Linked DNA regions of Drosophila melanogaster. The protein of the gene in region 2 purifies or fractionates together with the protein of the main gene of each other region. This does not show direct contact. Each region holds a gene or a part of one and is shown on either strand. Other genes may lie near its edges. The genes, in order: EndoA and Atg9.

Evidence for each region.
Region 1: the proteins of Atg9 (region 2) and EndoA purify together in Drosophila melanogaster (affinity purification with western blotting, with the first as the bait; one study listed by BioGRID). This does not show direct contact.

What each region holds. Positions count from the first base shown.
Region 1 is NT_033777.3:18,904,539-18,911,284, reverse strand, and holds EndoA (endophilin A), read right to left. Parts: upstream 4,677-6,746; 5' UTR 4,265-4,676; exon of another isoform or gene 4,086-4,264; 5' UTR 4,019-4,085; coding exon 2,909-4,018; 3' UTR 2,835-2,908; exon of another isoform or gene 2,780-2,834; 3' UTR 530-2,779; downstream 1-529. Other genes in the region: Sgsh (N-sulfoglucosamine sulfohydrolase), read left to right, coding at 1-25; CG14292 (uncharacterized protein), read left to right, coding at 5,679-5,732, 5,808-6,260. UniProt on the Drosophila melanogaster protein: Required presynaptically at the neuromuscular junction. Implicated in synaptic vesicle endocytosis.
Region 2 is NT_033778.4:16,292,809-16,297,948, reverse strand, and holds Atg9 (Autophagy-related 9), read right to left. Parts: upstream 3,550-5,140; 5' UTR 3,429-3,549; coding exon 891-3,428; coding exon of another isoform or gene 870-890; 3' UTR 717-869; downstream 1-716. Other genes in the region: CG7747 (uncharacterized protein), read left to right, coding at 3,915-3,946, 4,006-4,960, 5,015-5,140.

The DNA.
Region 1 (6,746 bases), on a different chromosome or scaffold from region 2:
TGAGGAGTATGTGGTCTTCTCGTAGGTCTGACTAAGAGTATTCAATAGATTGGGTGTGTTGTCTTATCGCATGTCCAATGGTTGATAACTCAACCATGCCAATGTTTTTCACTTCACATGCCGTTACAGTTGCGGTCATACAAATAGGAATTGCAAAAGGTAGAAATGATAATATTATATTAATGTATATTCTTATTAAAATAATAAAAAAAAAGTAACATACAATACTTTCAATAATAAACTTTGTTTAACTTTGAAGCGAGCTGCTAATCTTTAAGCATGGCTAATAAAAAGATCAATGTTTTCAAAAGCAATGGTAATCATAAGAATTAAGCATTTGTTTAGAGTATGTACATATGTATGTTCTTTGAACAAATTTCCAAGTTTACATTAAGGGAAAACTTTAATTGCTTTTTACAAACAAACAGATAAAAATATATTGCCTTGATTTTCACCTGCGCAATGCCAAAAAAATAGCCAACAGAATTGGCAAAGAAAGAAGACTGAAGATTCCCCCACTGACTGAATTGGTTGCATCAGCCCAGACTGGCAAACACTCGTGTCCTGGCAGCATGACCTCACCCACTTTTTGGACTGGAGGCGTGGGCATCAGGGGTTGGATGCTGCGTCACGTTTCAATGTCATGCCCACTGGGTCAGTGGGATAGGGGAGGGGAGGGTGTGCTGGCGGCTGCCTGTGTCTGTGTGTGGAAAATCGAAAATTTCAATGCTTCTGTTGTAGTTTATTGGTGGCGCCTCCGGATTCCCACATCGCCCACCACCACCCATTCCCAGCAGCATTCGAGTCTCTGTGTTACACAACAGGCAGCACGTTTTATGGTTTTAAGGTCAGATGGGAAATATCAAAGAGTAAACGACGTTTGCTTGTTTTTTTTTTTGTTGTTTCTCAGTTATGACTTTGAACGAAAGACACATTAAAAATTAAATTTTATTAATTTTGGTTTGCATAAATTAGGGTCTTCAGTTTTAGCATAGTTATTATTATTATGTATATGCCTTGTAATATATATTATTCAAGTTACCGCCCACACAAAAATGCAAAATTACAATAATTATTGTTTGAAGTTCGGGCCCCGCTGCACGTGGGGCAAGTGTGTATCGCGTGGAAAGATAGTCTCCAGGCGATGGGTGGATCCTCCCCAGATGGGGTATCCTCTGGAAATGTTCGCACTGGCAGTCTGTCCGTCCACGAGGCAAATGTTTCATCTTCGCACTCGAATATATAATTCTGTTAAATGTTTTCTTGGCATTTAACAAATTTATTATCAACACAAGTTGCATGGCTTTCAATTCAATGGTTTTCTTCATACGTAAATATATATGTATCTTGTGTATATCATTCCTAAACGTACGAGTATATATATGTATATACATTCGTATGTATATCGTGCATAGCTGTATGCCAACATGAGACTATTTTGAATCATTTTATCGGTTTGCCGTCGAATGTTTATTATTATCTCGTTAAATATATAAATATTTGATCTAGAGTTGCGGTTGGTAAACGCGTTAGTAGGTTCGTAAGTGTTGCTATGCTTCGATTGACTTGACTGGATTTTGCTTACGTTTAAAGTTATTATTATCAACATTTTTGTGGAAATCGTTTAACTAGTATTATGCTTGTTGGTTGGTATTGTTTAGGAGGATTCTGTTACATTTACTTGCCGCTAGTACTTTTTATCTGTTATCATCGTTTAAATATTCATTATATTGTTTACGTTGCTGCTCAGTATAATTTATAATAAATACATAATAATAAATATACATGTAGATAATACGCTTAATAAATATATTTATACATATATTTGATTTCATTTAATATATATATATATAGTTGTTATGTATATAATTAACAAACAAAAAAAACAACACACATAAAAAGGAGCAAAAAGTAGGATACAAATTTCGCTTGTTTCATCCTCGAAAAATTGAATTGAATTATTCTTTACATTGAACAACGAACATCAAGAACGGTATTCCGTATGCCTTTTAGAATAGAGTGTGGGGAGTATTGTTTTTGCACAAATATACGTAGGTAGAGTAGGTATATGTAGGTATTTTCGGGTATATAATAAATATGTATATGCATGTGGGCGGGCGTATGGTGTGGATACGTAGCTTTAGCCTATAAAGGGACATTTGCATAGAGAGCGCATTGGCGTAGGTTGGTTTAAATTACAACGATGAGACCGGATAAAAAGACCTCCGAAAACTGGAGGCTAGAAGAACTCAGGTGGAAAGACAAAAGAGACGCGCCTCCATGGGCGTGATTAAGATTACACGGGTAATTTAGTTAATTAGCTAGAGTGTTTTTCTGTTTGCTTCTGCCGCCGGACCAACTGTTCTAATACGTGATCGATCTATTGTGTGAAGTAGTACTAAATGTTCGCAACTTGCAACGAACAACAAAGCTGACGTTTGAGAATCAAAGGTAAAAACGCAAGGAAGTGGCATTGCGCGCGTAACGTCTTGTAAATTTAGTTAGTTAATACGTACATTAATTTAACTCGTAGTTAATTTGTTAATTATTGTGTTGCCAACTGGTATAATTTTGCACATAAAATTTAGTTAGCTTGCTCTATGGCCACCATGAATTTAGCCTGCTGTGTGCTGCTAGCTAAGCCGTATCGTAATATCCGTAATCGTAGTAACCCGCTCATCTAATTCAACTATATATATATATTTGCATTTATGTGCTGCTGCTGCTGCTTCTGCTGCTCCTGCTTCTGCATCGGCTTGGGCTGCCCAATTTCGCGCCTCTGGTGGCGAAACCAACAATTAAGGTTATTGTTCTCCAATCAGCGATCTACGTACGTCTTCAGCCAGTTTGATAGGATGGGATTGGTTTAGGGATCGGGATTAATACGAGGAACAGGATGAGGAATAGCCTAGTTGCCATTGGGCAGGGGCACCTGCACCTGAACATACGACTGCGGGAAGTAACCGGTGCGGCCATTCACCGCGCCCTCGAACCAATTGTCGTCGACGCGATTCAACAGGGTGATAATGTCGTTCTCCTTGAAGGCCAGTTCGCCGGGATTCTCCGGCTCGAAGTCGTAGAGGGCCTGGCAGCAGGGCTGCTGCTGGCGCTGCGGCGTTACGGCCATCGACTTGGCGGGCGAACGCATCGGCGAGGGCAACGGCGAGGCGCTCGAACTAATGTGAGACGGCGTGCCATCTTCGTTGAGGCCGCCGCCACCGCCGTCCAAGTTCAGATCGAGCAGCGTCTTGGGCACGAACTCGTTGCGTGGCCGGCTCTCCGCCTCGGAGCGCTTCTCCTGCAGTGTCTCCTGCAGGCCTCGAAGGACATCCGCGCATTGCGAATGAAAATCGTATAGTGCCTCGGCAAAGGTGACCAGCTGGGAGACATGCTCCGTATCGTTCTCGAGCAAATTGAACATGCCCACCTGGGCCAGCTGGAGCGATTCACCGAACTTGTCCTCGGCACCACGAATCTCATCGTCCTTGGCCTGTCGGCGACGCTTGCAGTCAAAGTCTAGCCGCCGGCCCTGCAGCTTCTTGCGATGATGCATTACCTCCTTGAGGTCTTTGGTCTGCATATGATGCAGTGGCTCCAAAAAGTTCTGCTTGATGTTGTCGTCCAGCGAATACTTGACGTCGGCCATCTGTTTCAGCGCTTCGCCGAATTCGACGAGCGCCTGCGCGAACACGCTGTTGTCCTCGCCGAGCTTCTTCCCATAAGTCAGCATGCATTCCGCGAGCAGGCCCTCCGGTTGCGGATACGTATTGGACTTGGCCTGTCCGGACAGCTTCGAGATGCCCTTGACCGCTGCCATTTTGGCCCGTGCCGTTGGATTCGGCTGCAGGAACTCCTTCGTCTTTAGCTGCAGCTCCTCCACTAGCTCCACGGTGACGTCCGTCTTGCGTTCCATCTCCATGAAGTCCATGTCCAGTTTGGTGCCCTCGGCACCGCCCATCTTCTCCGTCATATACTGGTTGGCCTTGTTGATCTGCTTTTTGAGTCCGGCGAAAGCCATGGCTGCTGCTGTCTCTTCTGGTTTTCTTCCTCTGATTAAATTGGTCTTGGGGCGCTCGACGCAGTTGCTGTGAACGGGTTGGTTGGGTTAGTCGAGACTCGATTTCAAATTCAATGTCAATATCATCAAGTCAACAATTTCATCAATGGACTGGATGGCTGCCTCACTGACTGCCCGACTGCCTGGCTGGCTGGCTGGCTGGCTGAGTGTGTCTATTTTTAAAACGTTTACGTTTGGAAGACTTACGCGTACTGCACTTTTCTCCGTTCCTTCTCCGCTGGGGGTGCTACTTTCCGGGGCTCTTCTGCTCGCTCAGTGGAGGCTGCGAGTCGGGAAACTCGAATTGGCTTGGTGAACTGTAGCCCGAGTTCGAGTTCTACTTTTGCTGACCACTACTGCGGGCACTTTCACTCGCTTCGCTTGCTCTGCACGTTCTGCCCCGTTTTTTTTTTTGTTGCTCTGCTCGTAATCTTCGATTTTTTCCAGAACCTTGGGCTGCGTAATGTTTGAAGGACCGTGAGTCGTTACTACTACTACTGGTCGCGCACAGGGGGCGGGGGCTGTGGGGTCGCGTTTTCCTCTCGGCTCGCAAAAATCAATATCTTGACTGTGTACAACAATTTTCAACGGCACTAAGCCACTGGAGCTGCGGGACTATCGATAATTCTGTTAAAAAACATTCAGTGTGACCGGTGGTTCGTAAAATACCAAAATCATTCGCATACAACAACGGACATACACGGGATACGCTCATCTCTAGGCATATGTTAAAGATGTGAGGTACAACTTAACATTTTCATTTAATTTCTTTGCAGGGGGGTATTAGATAGTTATATATATATATCAAAACAATATTAAAAATTAAAGTAATATATATATTTTATATTAAGAAGCCAGAAGCACATAAACAGTTAACATAATATCTTACATTTAATATCTAATACTTATAATGTTAATGCATTATAAATTTGAATTTGAAATCTATGTTGATTGGCAGAATTATTAGACTAGAATAAATATGGTCGGTCCCACTGTCGGTCTCTGTATTTGCTCTGTCCTTGTACATGCTGTTAATCGAATAGCTGTTAGATTAGAATAACAGTTTGGCGCGTAAAATTCTAACATTACAATACATAAATATATTATATTGATAGAAAACGTACTCAGCAAAAATAAAGCTGTATAACTGCTGATGAATGTTACGCTAAGATAAAAATGGAATGACTCAGAATGGATAAGAAAATATCATGTTTATCCTGTTTACCAAAATAACTGTGCGCAAAATAACCAGTAGCACAGCAGTCAATTTTATCTTTCTAGAAGGTGGCAAATATATCCCAGGCAAAAATTAAACCCCATTTGCATCGTAAAAACCAGTGACGTTCACAGCATGAAGTAGCAATTTTACCACCTTTTTTTTTTTTATATATTCTGGCTCTATCTGAACAGATAACCCCCGAGAGGTACTTAGCACCACCGAACAAACAATGAACATGTAAATCAGTTCAATCGCAGTAGTAATAGTTGAGATATCAGAGATAAGATCTCCCTGCCGTGTTTTTAATGGCGTATAAAAGCCGCAAGCCGTTGTGCTTTTGGCAATTAGTCTAGACGAAACCCAACGACTGAGAACCAAGTGAACTCAGATAAATTAAAAGAAATGAAATTCGCAATTGTTCTACTGGCGGCCAGCATTGCCTGCATCAGTGCACAGGTGAGGAGTTGTGGATATGGGCCCCCCCATTAAGTGGATTATTATGTAACCGAATTATCATAATTTACTCGTAAGGGCCCTGGAGCTACTGTTGGAAATCCCCTTGCCGGAAATCCCTTTGCCGCCGCCAATCCGTATGCGGCTGCCTTTAATCCCTTCCTAAATGGAATTTTCGGAGGTGCTGGCACAGGAGCTGCCGCCGGTGTAGCCGCTCCCGTGGCACCGTCTGCTCCCTTTGGAGGCGCCTCGATTTCCTCATTCTTCCAGTCGATAGTCCTGCAACGCGAAGCCGAGCGTCTGCTCTCCCAGCCTGACTTTCCCGCCGACCTGGCGGAGCGCGTCCTGGATGTGGTGGCCACCTCGGAGGAGTCGATCAGTGGCTGCAACAACGCCACTTTGCCCTGGCTGCAGATACGCTGTGTCAAGCCTCTGCTGACCACGGCCAAGAACCAGCTGAAGGCCATCGATGACGAGTGGCAGGCCCGTTTGGCCGCCACCGCCAGTCCCACAGGAGCAGCTGCTGCCTAGGATTCTAGTCCTGTCCTCCGGCTGCCTTAGTGTCCAATACTTCCTAGCTTAGCAATCGACCAACATAGATGCAATAAAATTTAAATAAGCCTAATGCCGGAATTTCCTATGCTGGTTTAAGGGGTGCAAAGGTGTGTGTGTGTGTGTGTGTGGTAAGGGGGGGAGGGGGGGGGAGGCCAAAGGACTCCTGACCTAGGACATGCTTTGATGTGGCCGGCCGAGCTTTGCATTCCGCTGCTTTATTAAATTTCCCATCGGGAATTACAAATTTTGGCGTTTGCCTTCTTGACGCTTTTCGGGGCGCAAATACTTGGCTGCTCACGTCACCGTCACGAAAATCCTGGTTCGACCTCGACTAAAAGGATGCTTATGCTTTGGAAAGTTAGTGTTGTCATTATGGGGGAAATATGCTAACTTAAGTTCTAAGCAAATAATTTTTATAAATTAATAGTTTTAATATGCTAACTTGCAGGATTAAAAAAGTTA
Region 2 (5,140 bases):
GAAAAATGAGACAACGTGATCCAAAGGCTCTCCAGCGATCTAGCCGCAGATTCCAGCTAGAGCTACAGCTACAGCTCCAGCTCCATGCAGCACGCACATAATTCATAAATGTTGCCACAGCTGGCGGGGATCGGCGGTATCTGCATCTGTATCGGTGTCTGCCGGCTTGGGAGATTCATAGGCACGCACTTGGTCGGTCCACTCTGTGCGCCCCGATCTCCTCCAGTCTTTGGTCTCTGCTCGCCGCATTGGCCATCAACACCAATCGCCAAATGGCGTTCGTGTGTGGCAAGTGACACACGAGGCGCTGCAGCACAGCTGGATGCGTTCTCCTCAGCCACTCGCATCTGGATCTCTGGACCAGGTGGATGTGGTGTGCCAACAATGCCTACAAATGGGGACCATCCATCAGTGCTGATGGAGCTGGCATTCCCACATCCCGGAGAGCTAAGATCGGGATAAGCCGTAAAGACATTAAATATAATCTTCACAATGAAAATGGATTTTTTTTATGGTGTCTCCTTTCAGTTGTTGTACACAGGATACACAACGGATAATGCTTAGGATTTACAAGCCATTATAATCAAACCAGGTAAATAGTTTATACATATATATATATGTAAATATGGGTAATGGGTAATCACAACTACTACACACTAATAGATTTAGTTATTATCTAGCGAAATTTCCTTTGAAATAATAAAGCTGATCAATTTGATAATGCATTTATGTTTATTGCTTCTCGTTTAGTTTAGCTTAGTTTCAGATTAGTTTAGCTACGCACTAGACGACGTCGTTCGTTCGTTTACACTTTAAAATTTAGGTTAATCACTAATAGCAGAATGGGTGGTCCTTAGCTCTACAGGTGGTTAGATCCACTCTGGCCGCTGCTATGAGCGGATGCTACCCAAAAGCGGCGTGCTCTCGGCAGCCTTTGAGGTAATCACGGTATGGCGGGAGCCGAAGCCAGTATCAGCCGACGGAGCAGCTGGTGGTCGCGGTGGCCAATGGCTCGTACCAGGACGCTCGTCCTCGGCCTCGTCGATGCGAGACTGGCGCGCTTGGCGCTTCTGCTGGTTCAGCTCGTGCAAATAGAGGGCACTGAGGCACATGTCGGCCACGCCCACATTCAAGGGAGTGCTGCCCACGCGCGGGTCCACACCACAGAGTCCGTAGAGCAGTGTATCCGTCGGACCCTCCAAGCGGCCTTCAGCCCGGCTGAGGCGCAATCGGCGCATGCTGTCCAGCGGGCCGACACTGGCGGACAGATTCTGCTGCAACATCTGGCGGAAGTCGCTGGCTGCGACGGGGAATCCTCCAGATACCGGTCCTAGACCCGGACGCAACGACTGCGAAATCTCCAGTTGCTGGGGCGTCACCTGTGCGGTCAGCACAGAGTTCGCAATGGAACAATAATCCGCTCCCATGGTGCCAAATGAGATGAGGCTGTTGGTCAGCGGGTTCTCCTGCACCATCGACGTCTTGGCCTGGACTAGTTCACCAACGGCGTGCTCTCTAACGCCGCGCAGGAACTGCTTGGCCTCCTTGGGCATCTGCCACTCGGGATTGTTCAGGGTGAAGCGAAGAAGCGACATCTCCGTTTTGCCGCCGGCCAAACTTTGCTGCTGTGGCTCCTGCTGCGGCTGTTGAGCTGTAGCCCGGGTCATCTCCTCCAGTTCGCTGGTTAACTGCCAGTCGGGATTGCCATGCTTGCGAACATCCATCTGGGCAAAGGAGCATACGTTGCCCACTCCTCGCACGGATACGGTGAACGTCCTGAAGAAACGCACCAGCTCTATGGCCTTTGGCCTGAACACAAAGATCAGCACGAAGGGTGTGACGAAGGGACTGAAGATTTCGCTGAGTAGGTAGCCAGCCTTAAACTGAAAGAAGTTGCTAAACTCCTGGCGAACCTTTGTCGTGTGCGCCTGCTGCCGCCACTCGGAGGGCAGGTAGTGAACGTGCGCCAGAATGGCGGTCATTAGCTGCTCTGGGCACCAAACGAGATTCTCATCCGGTATTAGAGTTCTGCAGACCACACCTATGGCGCCGAGCCCTGCAAGGATGGCAAGCAAATGCTCCACCTGGAAGACGTGTTCCTCGTAAATGCCCAATGCAAGGATTAGAAGTAGTAGTCCTCCACTGATAAAGAGTAGGTTTTTGGCTATCACAGCGGCCAGTGGCGAGGAAAAGGAGTTGAGATAGCGGTCCGCGTAGTCATATGCCCGATTCAGCCTGGCATCTAGTTCGTGGTCCAGTTCATTAAAGTGGCGCAGGTAGAGGCGGCCGTAATTGGACCATGTACGCAGGCCAAGGGCACCAGGCTCCTTACGAAGAATGTTCGCATAGGAGAAACTGAAGTAGATAAGTTGCCATACGAAGATCACAGGCGCTAGGACCAAATTTAACAACGCCACCCCCAATATCAGTTTGGAGAGTCGCTGCGCCAGCTCCGTTTGATTGCTTCTTACCGCAAACTCATCACGCAGCTGCCAATTGTTCTGGAAGGGAGATCCAGGGCCGCGAAACAAGATGAAGTCAATGTTGAACAACATACCTCTACTCAGCGAGACCACTTCGCCATACAGCGGTATGTGGAACCTTACAGGCAGCAGTTGCTTGTTCATCAGTGCCACTAGGTAGTTCTTGAAGCGCAGAACTCGGTGATAGATGTCCAATTCCGTAAGCGACTCCTTGTCGATGCACATATGCTGTTCGGCCTGGACGCGACGAATCCGCTGTTGCACCTCGTGCCACGTAAAGTTGTCCAGATCCGAATCCTCGATATGAAGCGCAGAGTTGTAGAATCTCTTTATATCGGCGTACTGGGTAATATGGTACACCATTTTCAGAAGCCTTATGCCCAAATAGATAGCGGCTATGAACACAACCAGGTACGTGACCCAAGTGAAGTTGGCTAAGCACTCGCCTGTGGGGTACATCACATCGGATAAAGTTGTCTTGTTGGGGTTAAGTCCCCCTGGAGGGGTGTCCCCAAAGAGCACGTCAAATCGGACGCAGTGCATCACAAAGGCAAGTAGCCAGACGACGAAACCAAACTCCAGAACCTGTAGCATTTCGTCCACTACAATCACTGTGAATCCGTGCTTCTGCTGGTACTGATACATTCGCGAGAAGAACGAGTCAAGGTCCTCGATGTGGTTCCACCGCGCACGCCCCGTCTCCGGAACCATGTGGATCATGACGCCACTGTTTCGAGGCGTGTCCTCGCCCTCATGCTCGGTGTCGTGCTCATCCAGCGGCTGCTCCAGCCCGTGTTCACCGAGGGGGTCTAAATGCGCAGCAGCTGCGTTCGCTTTTGCGTCTTGTGTTTTGGATGGGCCTTGGCCTGTGGAGGGATGGTGCTCCAGGAACGGACTGGCCGCCTCCTCGGCCAGGGAGCGGTAGTTGATATGTGGGCTAGACATCGCCCAACGTCAAGGTCAACCGTTCTGACTATTTATATCGCTGTATAGTATAAGTTGGAAAATTCTTTGTTGTTTGATTCTGCTGAACCTTCTCAGCAAACAGCTGACTCTCCTAAGAGAAGTGTTGGCCAACGTCAAAATACTGGGTAATGAATAAGTAAGGCGAACCTCTTGCAGCGCCCAATGTGCAGTGTTCACACTGCCAGGGCATCTCTAAATAACACACATTGGAGAATCAAAGGTATCTTATAAAATTAATACTTATAAATAATTAAATTTGCATTTTTCTTGTTATTTGTTTTTATATTCGTTTTTAACTTTTTGAAATACTCGATACTTTTGTTTATGGTACCCGAAGTGTGAACAGCCTAGATATCCATCAACATAAATCTGCACAGAGTTGGCAGTTCTCTCCCGCATTTGTAAACAAACTATTTGTAGCTCTTACTTTATTGCAAATTTAATTTAAAAAAACAAACAGCCAAGATGGGTAAAAGGCAGCATCAAAAGGACAAAATGTAAGTATTTAGCACATCCAGCGAGTTATGGAAATGAAGACTACCCATTGCTTTAACAGGTACCTCACGTACACGGAGTGGAGTGAGCTGTATGGCGGCAAAAAAGTGGAATCCTTGGAGAACGACCATGTCAAGTTCAAGCGGCTGCCATTCGAGCACTGCTGCATTACGATGGCGCCCTACGAGATGCCCTACTGCGATCTACAGGGCAATGTGTTCGAGTACGAGGCCATTCTTAAGTTTCTCAAGACCTTTAAGGTGAACCCCATCACCGGGCAGAAGATGGACTCCAAGTCATTGGTGAAGCTGAACTTCCACAGGAATGCAAACGATGAGTACCACTGCCCCGCCTTGTTCAAGCCCTTCAGCAAGAACTCGCACATCGTGGCGGTGGCCACAACTGGAAATGTATACTGCTGGGAGGCAATCGACCAGCTGAACATTAAGACAAAGAACTGGAAGGATCTGGTGGATGACACGCCATTCCAGCGTAAGGATATCATCACAATACAAGATCCTCAGAAGCTGGAAAAGTACGACATCTCGACCTTCTATCATATTAAGAAGAATCTACGAGTCCTGACGGAAGAAGAGCAGCAAGAGAGAAAGAATCCAGCCAGCGGCCGCATTAAGACCATGAATCTGGAGACCAAGGAGACGCTGGAACAGCTGCAGCAGGACTATCAGCCAGCGGAAGAGGAGGCCTCCACTTCGAAGCGTACAGCTGACAAGTTCAACGCAGCTCACTATTCAACTGGAGCGGTGGCGGCCAGTTTTACGTCTACCGCCATGGTGCCCGTTTCCCAAATAGAGGCGGCTATCATAGATGATGATTTGGTCAAGTACGAGCGGGTAAAAAAGAAGGGCTACGTTCGTTTAAATACGAACCTTGGCCCTCTCAACCTGGAGCTCTTCTGCGATCAAACTCCTCGAGCCTGCGATAACTTCATCAAGCATTGCGCCAATGGTTACTACAATAATGTTATGTTTCACCGGTCCATAAGGAATTTTATTGTAAGTACGATCTCTTTTGAGAGAAACTTTAATTTACTATGGTTTTATCCACAGGTGCAAGGTGGTGATCCCACTGGAAGTGGTTCTGGTGGCGAGTCCATTTGGGGCAAGAAGTTTGAGGACGAGTTTAAGCCGAATCTTACGCACACGGGCCGAGGAGTGCTATCAATGGCCAATTCG